2 linked regions of the Oryzias latipes genome follow. The protein of the gene in region 1 binds, or shares a complex with, the protein of each later gene. Links are inferred from orthologs where the notes say so. Each region holds a gene or a part of one and is shown in the gene's direction. Other genes may lie near its edges.

Region 1 (6,631 bases):
CGACTTGGTCTCTGAGGCTCCGCCTTTCTCTCTGTGTGGGTGTCGCCCATTGCATGACCTCAACATAGAGCCGGCCTTGGCAGCGTGTCTGAGTCTCCCAGGAAAACAAACAACATCCAAACCTTTACAGGGATGGATGTGCATACTGTGCAGAGTAAAGGAACGTGTTTTGACCAATCACCACTGGCACCACGCAGAAAGTGTGTGTGTGTATTCCTGAATAAACACACAAACACAAACACAAACACACACACACACACACACACACACCCCCCCACACACACACACACAGAGTATTCCTCTGAAAACCTAAGACGTTTTTAGAGGAATACTCAGAAATGTAAGAACAGATCAAAATACTGCTTTGAGGTTGTTTACAGTGAAGAATGAACATTATAATACACTTAAAAGCTAAAAAAAAGTTGATTTTTCATGACCCTTTAAGGAAGATACATGAGCTCGATTTCTTATGTTTGGAATACAATCAAAAGCTTTATTGTCACCAAGCAGAAAAAATGAACAATGAAGACTTAAATATTAAGAATGCACATGTAAAATATTAGCAAAATAAGATGATAAAACTCTTGAGCATTATTATATACAGTCCACATGATCACTTTTTTAACTGTACCTATTTGCATAAAGCCAATATAACCACAAAAGGTCCTTAACAAAAGCCTGCAGGGTTGAAAGGTTCAGCCAGAGGTGGCAGACTGATCAGCATGCCTTCTGCATGTGGTCTGCTTCAATCCAAATGAAGTGTGCTAGTCGGAAGCAAACATGTCTGGACTGAGATAAGCAGATATAGAGACTGATGCCCTCCTAAACACGCAGCTATGGGCAAAAAAGCGAGCAATGATACCCCTGACAGCACAGAGAGTATAAATAGAGCTGGCAAATACTTGACAGTGAATGTTGACGCACACTCAAGTCTGCAAATATCGTATTAAATTCACATATTAGCATTAAATAAGTTGATGTACTGGCTTAAAGGCTTATTATGAACAAAAAGGCTAAGTGTCAAAATGACATTACCATTTATTCCGAGTTGGACTTGGCACTAAGTCGCTCTTTCGATGTTGCTAGCTGCTATCGTGACACAGCAAATGTGAATTTCTGTCTCGTGCAACAGAAGGGTGGTTTCCAGAGTCGAGCTTTACGGTTTAAACTGTTCTCGTCAGTGAAATGACAGCGCAGTGGCCAGTGCAGACAGACATCAATGGATGTGGGCAGGGCACACAGCTAGCGCCGCTGCTAACGCTAGCTACATGCTCCTACATGACGCACATACATAGCTAGCTGGCCGGGCTAACATCACAATACACCCTAAATATTTAATGCAAATATTATGTAATTTGGGTGTTTAGTGCTTTTATTTTGATCTAAAATGACAGAAGCGCGCGCGTGTCCCACGGCGTAACGTGGTTTGGCAAAAAAAAAAAAAGGGGGTGGAGAAACTAGGGGCAACAGTGGTTAACAGTTTAAGCAACCAGCTAGCTACCGCACCTGCGCTAACAAGCACGCGCCCGAAAACAGTTTTCCAGCGTCGCGCGGGTGAATTGCTTGCCGATGCCACCTTAAAAACGCTACAAGACTCACTGCGAAGGTTGGTGACAAGTTCTGCGTGACTGGCTCCTCCAGATTTCCAGGCCATTATTAAGCAGACTTTGCGGAGTAAGTAGACAGCAGCTGTCAGTGCCGCGCCTGCGCCAACAGTTTTCCCGATGAAGCTCGCAACCTCGAGCGGAGACGGCGGAGCGGATACGTCACCAGACATCCAAATGATTTTATTACCGGGCCGCCTTTCACATACACTCCCTTTTAACAAAACACGTACAGTTTAATAAAATACAAACCCAATTAGATACGTACTGAGCCCAGTGTCAGTTTAAAGAGGGAATTCCTCTGTCTCTGCTTTATTGGAATTGTTGGGTAATAAAGAAGTCGGCCGCTAGGGGGAAACAGATTATCTATTAATTTAAAGAAGAATAGCACACTGTGATCTGGTCTTCTCGGGCCACCGTAGTTACGTATGAAGCAGCAGGCGCGTAGTTTCTCGTGTAGTCCGTAAACTGAAAACAACACTTCAAATTTTAACAAAAAGGCTTCAATTTCCATGGAGAGCATAAATGCCAAATATGTGTCTCAGAAAATCAGTAAGACGAGATGGTGTCCGGTTTCCTATTCTTCACTGCAACAACCAGAAGTCTTTGCTACGGGCTCGTGGGACAACGAGGTTAGCTAGTAGTACTACTACTAGCGCAAAACCACACAAATTATTAAGATCGCTTGCTAATTAACTCAATTTTTTTTATTAATTTAAATTATTTAAATACACTTTAAAAAATTGTTTTGATTCATTTGTCGTCGTGATTTAAATGTTCACTGAGTTTAATGTGAAACCCGTTGATTTATAGGACAACAAGGTGTCTATCTGGTCCATTGGAAATCACAACAATTCTGGATTAGAAGACGGATTTGAAGGAGACCCACAAATTTTATGTGAGCACAAACATGGCGGAGATGTTCTGGACCTGCAAGTAAGAAACCCAAAAGCTTCTAATGACGGAATCATCGGTGTTGATGTTTGATCTGTGGAGCCATTTCTTTATTTAGGCCTATAAACAAACTAAATGAAAAATAGAAATGAGCACAAAACCAAAACGAAATTTTAAATGTTCCCTTTTCTGTCATTAAAATTATTCAGCATGTCAAATAAGTGTCAGCAGTTATAAAGTCATAAAGATCCTTCAGAAGCTCACACCCAAATGTTTGATCAATTTGTGTAACTATTTGATTACATTTTTGTTCAATTCTTCTGGATTTTCCCACTTTATTATGTTGGATGGTTCACTCAGATATGTGTGTTTTTAACATGTTTTTGTAGCATTTTTCTCATCATGGAGGACAAAAGGATTTAAGCTTAGCACTGCATTTACGAGGACTTTTTTATTTAAATTGTAATGGATAAGGACCCGGTTTGCGATGCAGCAACTGCCATTGGCGGGCCAAAGTCTCCCTGTTCCGCACGCAGACAAATAGATCCACATCCGTCTTTGTTTTCCTTTGTCTGAGCTGGAATCTAAATCTAAACTGTACGGCAGGTTGTTTTTTTTTCTTGTGCTACGCTAATGTTAGATTGGGGTTGTGAGCGGCTGTTAGGTAGCAGGAAAGCGTGTAAACAAAGGAATGCTGGGAAATCATGGTAGGGTCACTTTCACGCTAACAGTCCCATCCACAACCCAGAAACAAATTTCTAATGAGCTTCTGTTGCTCTGCAGAAATTATGTCTTAAGGAACAACACAGGGTTTTTGATTTTTGCTAAAAACTGCATAATCATAATAAAAAAAACACTGGGAATGTTTTTACAATAGGTTTTAATTTTAAATGATTTTAAATGTGTACATTGTTTGGATAAAGTAATTTTTCTTGTTTTTCTTTGTTTCATGTTTTAGTTCTTGGACCAGGAACGGATGGTCTCAGCGTCATCAACGGGAGCAGTCACTATTTTCCGCTATCATCCAAACACTCATGTACGTTGTTTCTTTTCGGTTTTCTTGAGGAGAAAACAAAATGTCATGTTTAAAAACGGGTTTCCTTTTTGTTTCCTGAACAGACCATTTCAGTTCTGCAGCACTGGGCGAGGGCGCATAGCTACCCTTGTGACAACGCGCCCTGCACCGCCTTGGTCTGCAGCAGCCCGGAGATTGTCACTGTCGGGGAGGACGGCAGGATCGTGGTCTTCAGAGCCGACCAGGAAGGAGCGGTCCGGGTCATCGGTGAGATGAGGACTCGGATGTTACCGCCTCATCAGGAGTCGAGTCTAAAACTGTCCGTTGTGTTTGTTAGAGAATGCAGACAGCAGCACAATTCACGCGGTGACTTACCTGAAGACCACGGAGGTTTTGACGGTGAACTCCATTGGCCAGCTGAAGCTGTGGGACCTCAGGCAGCAAAGCAGCTCCCCATCGCAGATTCTGTCCCTGTAAGAGCTCTGAAATTTGATGTATTTATTATTTTTTTATGTATCTTTATCCTTTCAGAAACACACCTTTACTTGTTTGTCTTTTTTTCCACCAGGTCAGGAGACAGAGCTCCTCTGCACTGCGTTGACAGACATCCCAACCAGCAGCACATCGTAGCCACCGGGGGCCAGGACGGCATGCTCTGTGTGTGGGACGTGAGACAGGGGGGCACGCCCATCTCACTCATGGAGGCACACTCGGCTGAAAGTCAGATCCTTTCTTTATTTCACTTTAAACATATCTCTGGTTCTGTTTCACTAACTTTCCTTTGGATTTCCTCGTCAGTGTGGGAGGTTCGCTTCCACCCCACAAACCCGGATCACCTGTTCACGTGTTCGGAGGACGGCTCGCTGCTGCACTGGGAAACTGCCTCGCATTCCGAGATGCCCTCATTCTTACAAGGCAAGTCGTCATCAGTGAAGAGGCACTCCGATGAAAATTTTGTTTTTTGGTGTTTCCAACATGTTCTTTTCTTTTTTCTGATGATGGAGGCAGTTTGAAAAAAAAAACCCAGCTCGCTGCTCAGAGTTCTTAGCAGCATAATCATAATAAAAAGACCACAGGGAAGGCTTTTACAATGGATCCAAAGATGATTGGAATTGGAACTTTAAAAAGAGAAAGCCATGGATCAGATTTGAAGCTTTTATCTTTATGCATTCTTCTTTCTTTATGTCACTTAAAACACACAGGGTCAAATCAGGATCATCTCAAATTGACTGGAAAACCAGATTTTAAAATTGAAACTCTGAAATACAGCTGTCACTGTTTCGCAAAGGTGGTTTGGCAGAGTTTTAAACCAGATACCCTTCCTGTACTTATTCAGGCTAGTGTTATATGGGGGCGGGGCTTTGAGCCCATTGGTTACCATGACATGATTGATGTTGTGTGATAGAGGTCATGACAATGTCATTTCCACTTCAAAGGAGGGATGACTCGAGGTTACATTGTGTACTTTTGAATGTAATTTTTTTCTGGAAATGTTTTTCATTCACTTTAAGCTTGAACATATAGACTCTTCAGTCTGACTCCTTTTTTTTTTTTTTAATGCGTCCTCTCCATTCATTTCTGTGCAGAGCTCCGAATATTTTGACAACAATTTCTGATTTCGCTCCCTGGTGTCTTTGACTTTCCAAGTAGAGATTTAGCTAATTTTTATTTCCTCCTTCCTCCTCAGCGTTGTAGCTCTCTGAGAATTATTTAGACATTTCTCTCTCTGGTTGTTGACTCTGAGGACACAGTCATGACTTTGCACATTCCTCTGCTTTGTGTTCATCAAACATCCCTTCACTTCAAACTAAAACGATCTTGTTGACAGCTCAGAAGTTCTCTAAAGTCTAATTACAGCTTATCAGTCCTGATTTGTACAACAGAGATTTGTGTGTTTTGGCTAAAAACAAAGTCAGTCTTTTGAAAGGGTTAATATGAGACAAGATTTGTTATGAAATTTTAAAGAAGTTTAGAGTTTAAAGCCAATGACGCTGAAACAAATACAGGGACAATAATCTCAATCCTAGAGTGTAAACTCTGCATTTTTGATAGAATTTGGGGTAATTCTGAGAATATTTGCAGTTGGGGGTGAACGTTGGATTGTTTGAACTGTTGACAGGTGGCAGGAACAGCAGCGTGATCTCCCACGGCGCGCTGACCCCCGCTGGCGGGAACCGCCCCCTCAGCAGCGCCTGGCTCTGCGGAGATTCTGGCAAAGGCTGCCTGGAGACGACGCACATGCTGCCCAGCCAGACCATGTCCGTCAACAGCCTGGACATCATCGGACAGTGTCTCGTCTGCGGCACCGACGGAGAGGCCATTTTTGTCAACAGACATGTCCCAGTTTAAAAAATAAGTGTCTTTTGTGAGGAAAGAGATGTTACTGTCCTCATGTTGTGTTCTGACTGTGTTTTGTACAGATTTGATTTAAAAGGTTATTAAATTACAAATAAACGCTCAAATAAGTCTAAAAAGTTGTTTTATTGTCAGTCTTGTTTTTTTATTTTCCAATATTTACGATTATTTGATAGATTTGTATTTACACTGTGTAAAAAAAAAAAAAAAACAAACAAGTCAGCTGCTAAGAACACAGGGAAAAATGGTCTTGATTTCAAATTAAATGTGTTAAACATCTTAAAGTAATACTTCCTCACAGAAATTCTATTTTTTTTTTTTACTTGACTGTTGTTTAATCATCTTTTGAGGACTAATACTCACAGATGAAGACAAACATATGAAATTATACTGCCTACCTTAAGGAAAATTCATAGTATTATGAAGCACTAGTCATTTTAAACAATTTGAAACGATTTTTTTTAAAGATCTTTTTCTTGTAATCGTTTTATTTCTGGTTTGCTTTTTATAAATTTTTAAGCAATGGGTTGTTTTTGATCTCATTCCCTGTTTGTTTCTTGACCCTTGATAGTTTTATTTTGAAAGCGGCGGCCACCGGAAGTGCAGCGCTGCACTCTGACGGCAGCGTTTACTTGTCATTCAGACATCCCGGGAATCCAACGCGACAAGGAACCAGTCACCGCGGCTCAGACATTTATCCATTTAACCTGCGTCCAGCGGAATTAACCCAAAAACACATCGAGCCGTTCAAACAGGGAGACAA
Region 2 (6,852 bases), on another chromosome or scaffold:
GGGGCGGCAGTTGAAGCTTCTCGACCAATAAGTGCTTCCAGGCCATCAGGACATCACTCAGAGACACTTGGAACTCTCCGCCGCGCTGTCGCAGGAAAAGAGAAAGCAGCAGCTGTAACGCCGGAGCCGATCCTTTCCATCACAGACGGACCTTTTTCTGCCAAAAATGAGCCATGAGCGGTCTCAATCGGAAAGCAGTGGTAGTGTCACCACTTCTGATGATGGTCTGTCTCAGGGCTTGGATAGGATTCATCCCTCCTCGTAAAAACATAGGAGTTCACCTCAACAACAAATCATCAACAGTTTTATATGTTAATTTAGAGTTTAATGTGCTTTAACCACATTTAAATTATTTGAGCTCTATTTATTGTTTTTTTTTATCCTTTAAGACCTAGTCCAATCATCTTCTGATCTATTTTCAAACCATTTCCAGTAGACTTTTAATTATGATTATGCATTTTTAATCAAAATTTTAAAAATCTGTGACGTTTTATAGGACAGAGTTTCTGCAGAGTTCATTAGCAATTCACCCCCATCAGTTGTGGGTGGGACCACATCAACAAAATCTGAAAAAAGATTTGTTTTGATTTGCCATTAAGCAAGTAAAAATACAATTCTGGTGTCATGTGATAAAATAATAAATTCTCTGTGGATTTAGAACAATTGTTTGACACTTTCAATGAAAACAGGCTGGTATGCAGCAGGAATGCAAGGATTCAATTTCCCTAAGGTTTGGTTCAATGGTGTAGCATACGTAACATACGGTTATGGCTTCCCTCCTGTTAACGCTTCACACACTCCCAAACTAACATTAGCGGTGCAACAAAGATGGCCAGCAATGTTGGAGCTATCCACCCATACAGGTTTGAGCCAGATACCAGCTCAGACGAGGAAAACAAAGACGTCCATGGATCTAGTCGTCCGTAAGAGGATGCATCAGAACGGAGCTATTTTCTACGTCACAAATATACGATCATTTTCAAACAGCATCTGGTTTTGAATTTGAATAAAGAAATACTCAGAAATTCAATGTTTCAGCTTAATGTTGTTTATATATGTTCTCCATCCTGAGAAAAATACCACAAGAACATGTTAAAAACACCACAAACACCATTGTTATTTGAGTGGTTCTTTACAGTTCTATTCTATAAATGTACTTTAATGACAAAGAACGGCAGCCACACACACCAGTGAACCGACATTGTCATGGTTGACGGTTTCAAGTGCCTAGGTCACATGTGTCAAACTCAAGGCCCGCGGGCCAAACGTGGCCAATTTCTTAAAATAAAAAATTAAAAATTGGTGTGTATTTATTCATATCTAGGGAGAATTGGACTTGAAATATGGGATTGGGCAACTATACATTAGGACTCTCCATATAACCTAACCTGTCAGAATCAAATTTAAAAGGATTTATGCTAAAGTAGCAAGCAAATATGTTTTCTATGCAACTGTAATTGTCACTTTAAAAAGTTATAATAAACAAATAAATGAGTTATTTAACATTGAGGAGTAGGTACATTTGTTTTTCATTACATTTAGTTACATTTATCATTTATATCTGGCCCATTGAAGACAACCACTATGCCGATGTGGCCCTCGGTGAAAATGAGTTTGACACCCCTGGCCTAGGTGTTCACCCTAGCAATATACTGATGACCTTTGTAAGAAGGGACAAAGTTACCACCAACTTCTGAGGAGACGGAGGTGGTTTGAACTCTGCTCAGGACTTTTTCTGACTCTGTGCTTGCCTCTGCTCCCCTCTATGCCGTTTTTCTGCTGGGAAACGAGCAGCACCGGTACTGAATAGGCTGGTCAGGAGGACCAGGTCGGACTCGGTGGGTGAGAGGAGGATGTCAATCAACCTCACATCCATCCAGGACAACAGCTCTCACCCACTGCAGCTGACTGTGAAGGGACTGGGAGGTTCCTTCAGCAAAATATTCAGACACCCCTAGTGTAGGCATGAATGTTACCGCAGGTCATTTATTTCATCAAACTGACCAACTCCTCTGTGTAACTAGGTCATAAAAACGGTTTATTTATGTATCTATTTATTTACTTGCTTGGTGATTTGTTTTTCTCCAGAGAGGCCATGACAGGTAAATTTCTCCTCTGTGAGATTAATAAAGTGGAACAGCATTTATACATTTAACAGGAAAGAGCACAGACTACTACCTTTTTGTTAACGTCGGCCATGGCCAGCTGAAGAACCATCAGCATGCTGTCAGCTCCATGAACCGTGGTCCTTTCAGACTGTGAAACTCTGTGGCGTTCCCTCCTGAAGGTTTTCACCATCAGGTTAAGTCTTTCTCCTAAAGCTTCCATTTTATCCTTAAGTAAGAGGTTACAGAAGACACAATAAATACATCTATCTTTGCATCAAACACGTTATTATTTAGAGCAAAAAATGCACAAGAAAATGGTCAACTCAAATGATTTTTGCACTGAAGAACAGTAACCTTGTTCAAAGTACCCCCCCCCCCCAAAGGTTTTGTATTCTCAGCTTATTTAAATCCTCTATAAATATGTATCTGTATAAATATATATGCGTATAAGGTTCAGGTATAAAAAGTCACAATAATAAAAATAAAATAAAATATTACCTATTTAAATAAATATTCAAACCTGTTGTGGTGTTTCAATGTTTCTGCCGAACTAGGCGCACACCGTAGAGCAGCTGTTTTGAAATTTTAAATGACGATGACGTTTAACACCTTCTAGCCAATCAGATTTCAGCAAACTGCATCGGACGCTTCCAACAATAAAAAATAAATCAGAATCAAATGTTCAAACCAGATTGATTATATTTATGTTTAGGAACATATTTGTCGATTTATATTTTTGTTCCAAGTTTTCTAATGTTGTCTATAATTTGATTCGTTTATCTTTTCGTCTTTCAGTCTCCCCTTGGTTTTTTCCAACTACTGGTACGTTCCGTGTCGTATGCGGAAATAAATGGTAAACACTTCAAGCGCGGGCAACTAGGAAACGCACGCGCCGGTAATATATGTATTCTTAGAAGAAATAAGCAGAAAATTATTATTTATGAAAACTAGTCTGTGCCTAGTCGGTTTAAAACAAAACAGCGCCATTCTTTTTCGTATTAGCTTCTAGCATCGTGGTCGCTTTCTCTTTCTGCTCCTGCGAATAAATAAATCGTTTTCTCTTTTTTTTAAACTCGTAAATTTATCATCACGGGAAAAGAAAATATTGTTCTCTTTGAACATTTAAAATGTACTATTTTAATCCTGTTAAAGTTTCTGGTTTTGACGATACACTATTTGTATTCTATTAATCTTGCCTGCTCATCACATTCATTTTTAGCTTAGGCTAAACAATACCAGAATTGTGAGTGTAGCTTGTTAAAAATGCCCTAAAAGAGGCAAACTTACTGCATATTTGCTAAAGAGCAACAAGCCAATATTTTAACTTGACGTGTTAGTCCTCCAGTCTGGTATAGATTCTGATTCTTGTTTAGATTCATCTTAAACCTCTGTATTATAAAATAAAAACACTAATACAACCTATTAAAGTATAGTATATATGTACTGTTTTTAGTTAAAGTAGTTTGGTGCAACAAAAAAAAGTTGTTAGAGGCAATAGAACTGCATTACTTTTATTAACCAATCAATATATTGAGGGATATATTCTGCACTAATCTGGTCAATTTACCCATCTGTATATAAAAAAAACTTTTTTGATCCAAAGCTTATTGTTACTTTTTTTTTATTGGAAACATCTTTTTTACTTCTGATTTTGGTAAATTAGAGTACCAAAAAAAGATATGAAGTAAAATAAATAAATAAGAGTGCTGGGAGTTTTCATATAAACCATCTCTTATGTTAACATGTGGAAAGAGTAAAGATCAGTAAACTGAGCAAGAGGAGCTCCGGAGATGTATAAAGAAAAAATGTTAAAGTTGTTACTTTTTTCATGCTTGTATCTCTTTTTGTTTTGTAAAAATGAACAAAAATAGGAATCTGTTTCCTTTCTTTCTGTTGTGTGACAGGGATAAACATGCAGGAGGAATCTGTTCGCAGTCCCTCCTATACGGTGCCGTGTGACGATTATGTCCATGTGGTAGAATTCAGTCCTTTCAGCTCAGGGACCTCGGCCTCCCTCCTGGCCTATGGTGGGAACCAGTTTGTGGTGGTGGCCACCTGCCTTTTCCAGGTTTCTGACACAGATTGACACAGCACAGTTTGGAGGTTTTTTTTTTTTGTTGTCACCTTAATGACACCAAATGTGGCCCTGCAGGAGGAGGACATGGAGGTGGAAGGAGTCGAGTTTAACGTCCTGCGAGCTTTTCATCATGATTTGCGTGTGGATGCTCTGGCTTGGAGCCCCGAATCCCGGCTGGATAGAATACCCACTCTCAGGTATCACCGTTTGATAAGATAAAGGGGGATCATTTAATGTATCCATACTACAGAATAAATGTGCAGGAGAACAGTCAAAGGAGATCAATAGGTTTGTTTTCAAAATCTACAGTTGAGGTTGAAACTTGGAAGTTAAAGCAAAAGCCTTTATGTTGTCTTTGATTTTGTAGAATAAAATCTTTATGCGGCTGACGGTTAGACGACCTTGCTGGGAACTTAAAACTCTTTCTTTTGTTGCGTATCTTTCTTTCTTTCTTTCTTTTTTATTGTTTGTTAAAGTCAAAGAATGTCAAAGAAAATAGCTTTAGGTGATGGAACGTATTTGAATTTGCTAATTTGTCACTCATTTATATTGGTTTTCATACTATATTTCCATAAACCTTTTCAAAATTGCTTAAGAATAATCTTAATGGATGCTACGAAATGCATCATTATTGCAAGCCCGGAGCCTAAGACAATGATTTTATTCGGGACATGGGGCAGTAAAGGTTTGTGACAACAGCTGGTAGGTACTACTCTGTAGATGCTGTCCTGTGTTAATGCAGTGAGTGGAGATGATGGAGGGCAGCACATGCTGCTCCACCACCAAGAGAAATCCGAATAATACAGGCTTCTAGTCGTTAAAAGACTGGGAATATTTGTGTTTAAGTGTTTGTGGTGTTTAAAAAGTTGCCATAAAGTATCCAAGTTAGCAAAACCTGTTTAAGCTAGCCATTTTATCATCATTTATTTTGTTTTTGTGTGTTTTGTCCACCCTCCTTGCTGTAGATTCATCAGAAGAAAAAAAATTTTTTTTAGGAGCAAACTGAAATATTTAGAAAAATTCTGAACCATCCAAACTAAGGATTGTCCTCTTTATCTGAACACGTTGGCCCTCAACGATTCTTATAGAAAGACTGACTGTATATATGAGATCTGGACTGAGTGAACCCTCCCCGTTTGGGTTCCAAACAGGAAGTACCTGCTGGCTCCAAGAAGCCAAAATCCCATAGACTATTAATCAGTCATTCTATTTTCCAGAATAACCATTCTTGCACTGATGCCTTTTTTAAACTGACCAATAAGAAGTCTAAAAAAAAGTGGGTGGTGCCACATGCAACTCTTGAAACCTTTGACAGATTTTGTGTAGCCTACTTCTAAGTGCTAGGGGTGTGGCCTTCTAACAACTGATTGGTGAGAGGGATTACCATGGAAATGTTGACTCAGACCAACTCTAACCAATCACTGCTTACCCATGACATCTGGCTCCAACATGGCGGCGTCTGGATTGTGGAAAAAATACCAACTGAGTTGACTTGATTTGATTTGATTTGAGCTGGAAGTAAGTCATTTTCTGTTGATGACATCACACTCCAGTGAAACAAAAACCAAACCTTAGTCTGTATGACTTCAATACTGAAGTAATAGTAATCGGGTCAGTTCTGGAAGAAACCACAAGAGGCAAACAAGAGAGTTACTCTTGTCTCTGATATCATTTTAAACCGAAAACCAATCAGTTTCATTCTACTTAGAGCCTGTGGGGAGATTTGTAATCCATAAATTTAGCACTGAAGGTGAGTTTTATCTGAGTCCTTCTGGTTATTAACAGAATCAGCTTCAATCTCTGGGACATTTAAATGCTCATTAGATTCAATCAAATGGTTTTGCATCGATGTAGAAAGTTTTTTAGTCCCTAATCAGAATGATTTGAGGCAGATACGTTTAGCCAAAGGCTTGTGTTGACAGGATCTGTTGTTCCGAGCAGATTCTGGCTTTCACGGGAAATGGGGGGTTTTTGGTTTTGGGTGTTGTTGTTTACATTCTGCTCTGCTGGACGTTAATCCTGAACAATCCTCTAATGATGATGGGGCGACCACCGTCTCACAGTAATTGTACATCTTGTTAACATGGCAAGTTTACAAGCCGTTTGAATGTAACCTCTTATACACAGGGATGGGGAGTTCTGCCAAAGTGAAATAAAAGGTTTATTTTAATTTTGGCCTCAGAATAAAAATTATAAAAACATAATTTTTTAACCATCAAGATTGTTTCTGTGCTGGTTCAATTTTTCAGGCAGTATTTGGATCTCCTAAACATCAACAAAACCTTCTTCCTCAAAGAACTATCTTTCAAACAGACTCTGCCCTTTAACTAAATGTTATCATAGCAAAAATGACAAATGTAGTTACCGGTAATTTGAGCAGAGCAAAGTCGCTGCAAGCCCTGTAGCTGTTACCATGACAACAGATCGCACCACGTTTTAAATAGTCCACTATTTGTGAAAAGCTATCTAAATTTAAAAATATAATAGGGTTGAAGTTCTGATAATTGATTTATTATTATTTTTTTTTGAAAATCATTGGCATGACGTGGGATAACCGTGTGCGTTATCAGACATGAACCGACTTCATGGAAGTAACCAACCGACGCGAAAAGGAAATTAACGCGTTTAAAAAAATATATATATACACTTAAATGTCTGTAGAAAATA

What was found. Proteins that work in one complex are often made in the same cells at the same time.
Region 2: nup43 (region 1) and nup37 share a complex: the UniProt entries of both Homo sapiens proteins name them as parts of the nup107-160 subcomplex of the nuclear pore complex. The link is inferred for Oryzias latipes from reciprocal best matches to the Homo sapiens genes NUP43 and NUP37.

The regions. Positions count from the first base shown.
Region 1 is NC_019882.2:17,709,473-17,716,103, forward strand, and holds nup43 (nucleoporin Nup43), read left to right. Parts: upstream 1-1,998; 5' UTR 1,999-2,116; coding exon 2,117-2,236; intron 2,237-2,417; coding exon 2,418-2,540; intron 2,541-3,456; coding exon 3,457-3,534; intron 3,535-3,617; coding exon 3,618-3,780; intron 3,781-3,850; coding exon 3,851-3,986; intron 3,987-4,081; coding exon 4,082-4,233; intron 4,234-4,311; coding exon 4,312-4,428; intron 4,429-5,632; coding exon 5,633-5,862; 3' UTR 5,863-5,991; downstream 5,992-6,631. Other genes in the region: pcmt1 (protein-L-isoaspartate(D-aspartate) O-methyltransferase), read right to left, coding at 1,600-1,777. UniProt on the Homo sapiens protein: Component of the Nup107-160 subcomplex of the nuclear pore complex (NPC). The Nup107-160 subcomplex is required for the assembly of a functional NPC.
Region 2 is NC_019881.2:20,073,916-20,080,767, forward strand, and holds the start of nup37 (nucleoporin Nup37), read left to right. Parts: upstream 1-2,913; 5' UTR 2,914-3,003; intron 3,004-4,012; 5' UTR 4,013-4,020; coding exon 4,021-4,176; intron 4,177-4,260; coding exon 4,261-4,382; intron 4,383-6,852. Other genes in the region: parpbp (PCNA-interacting partner), read right to left, coding at 1-85, 2,179-2,328. UniProt on the Homo sapiens protein: Component of the Nup107-160 subcomplex of the nuclear pore complex (NPC). The Nup107-160 subcomplex is required for the assembly of a functional NPC.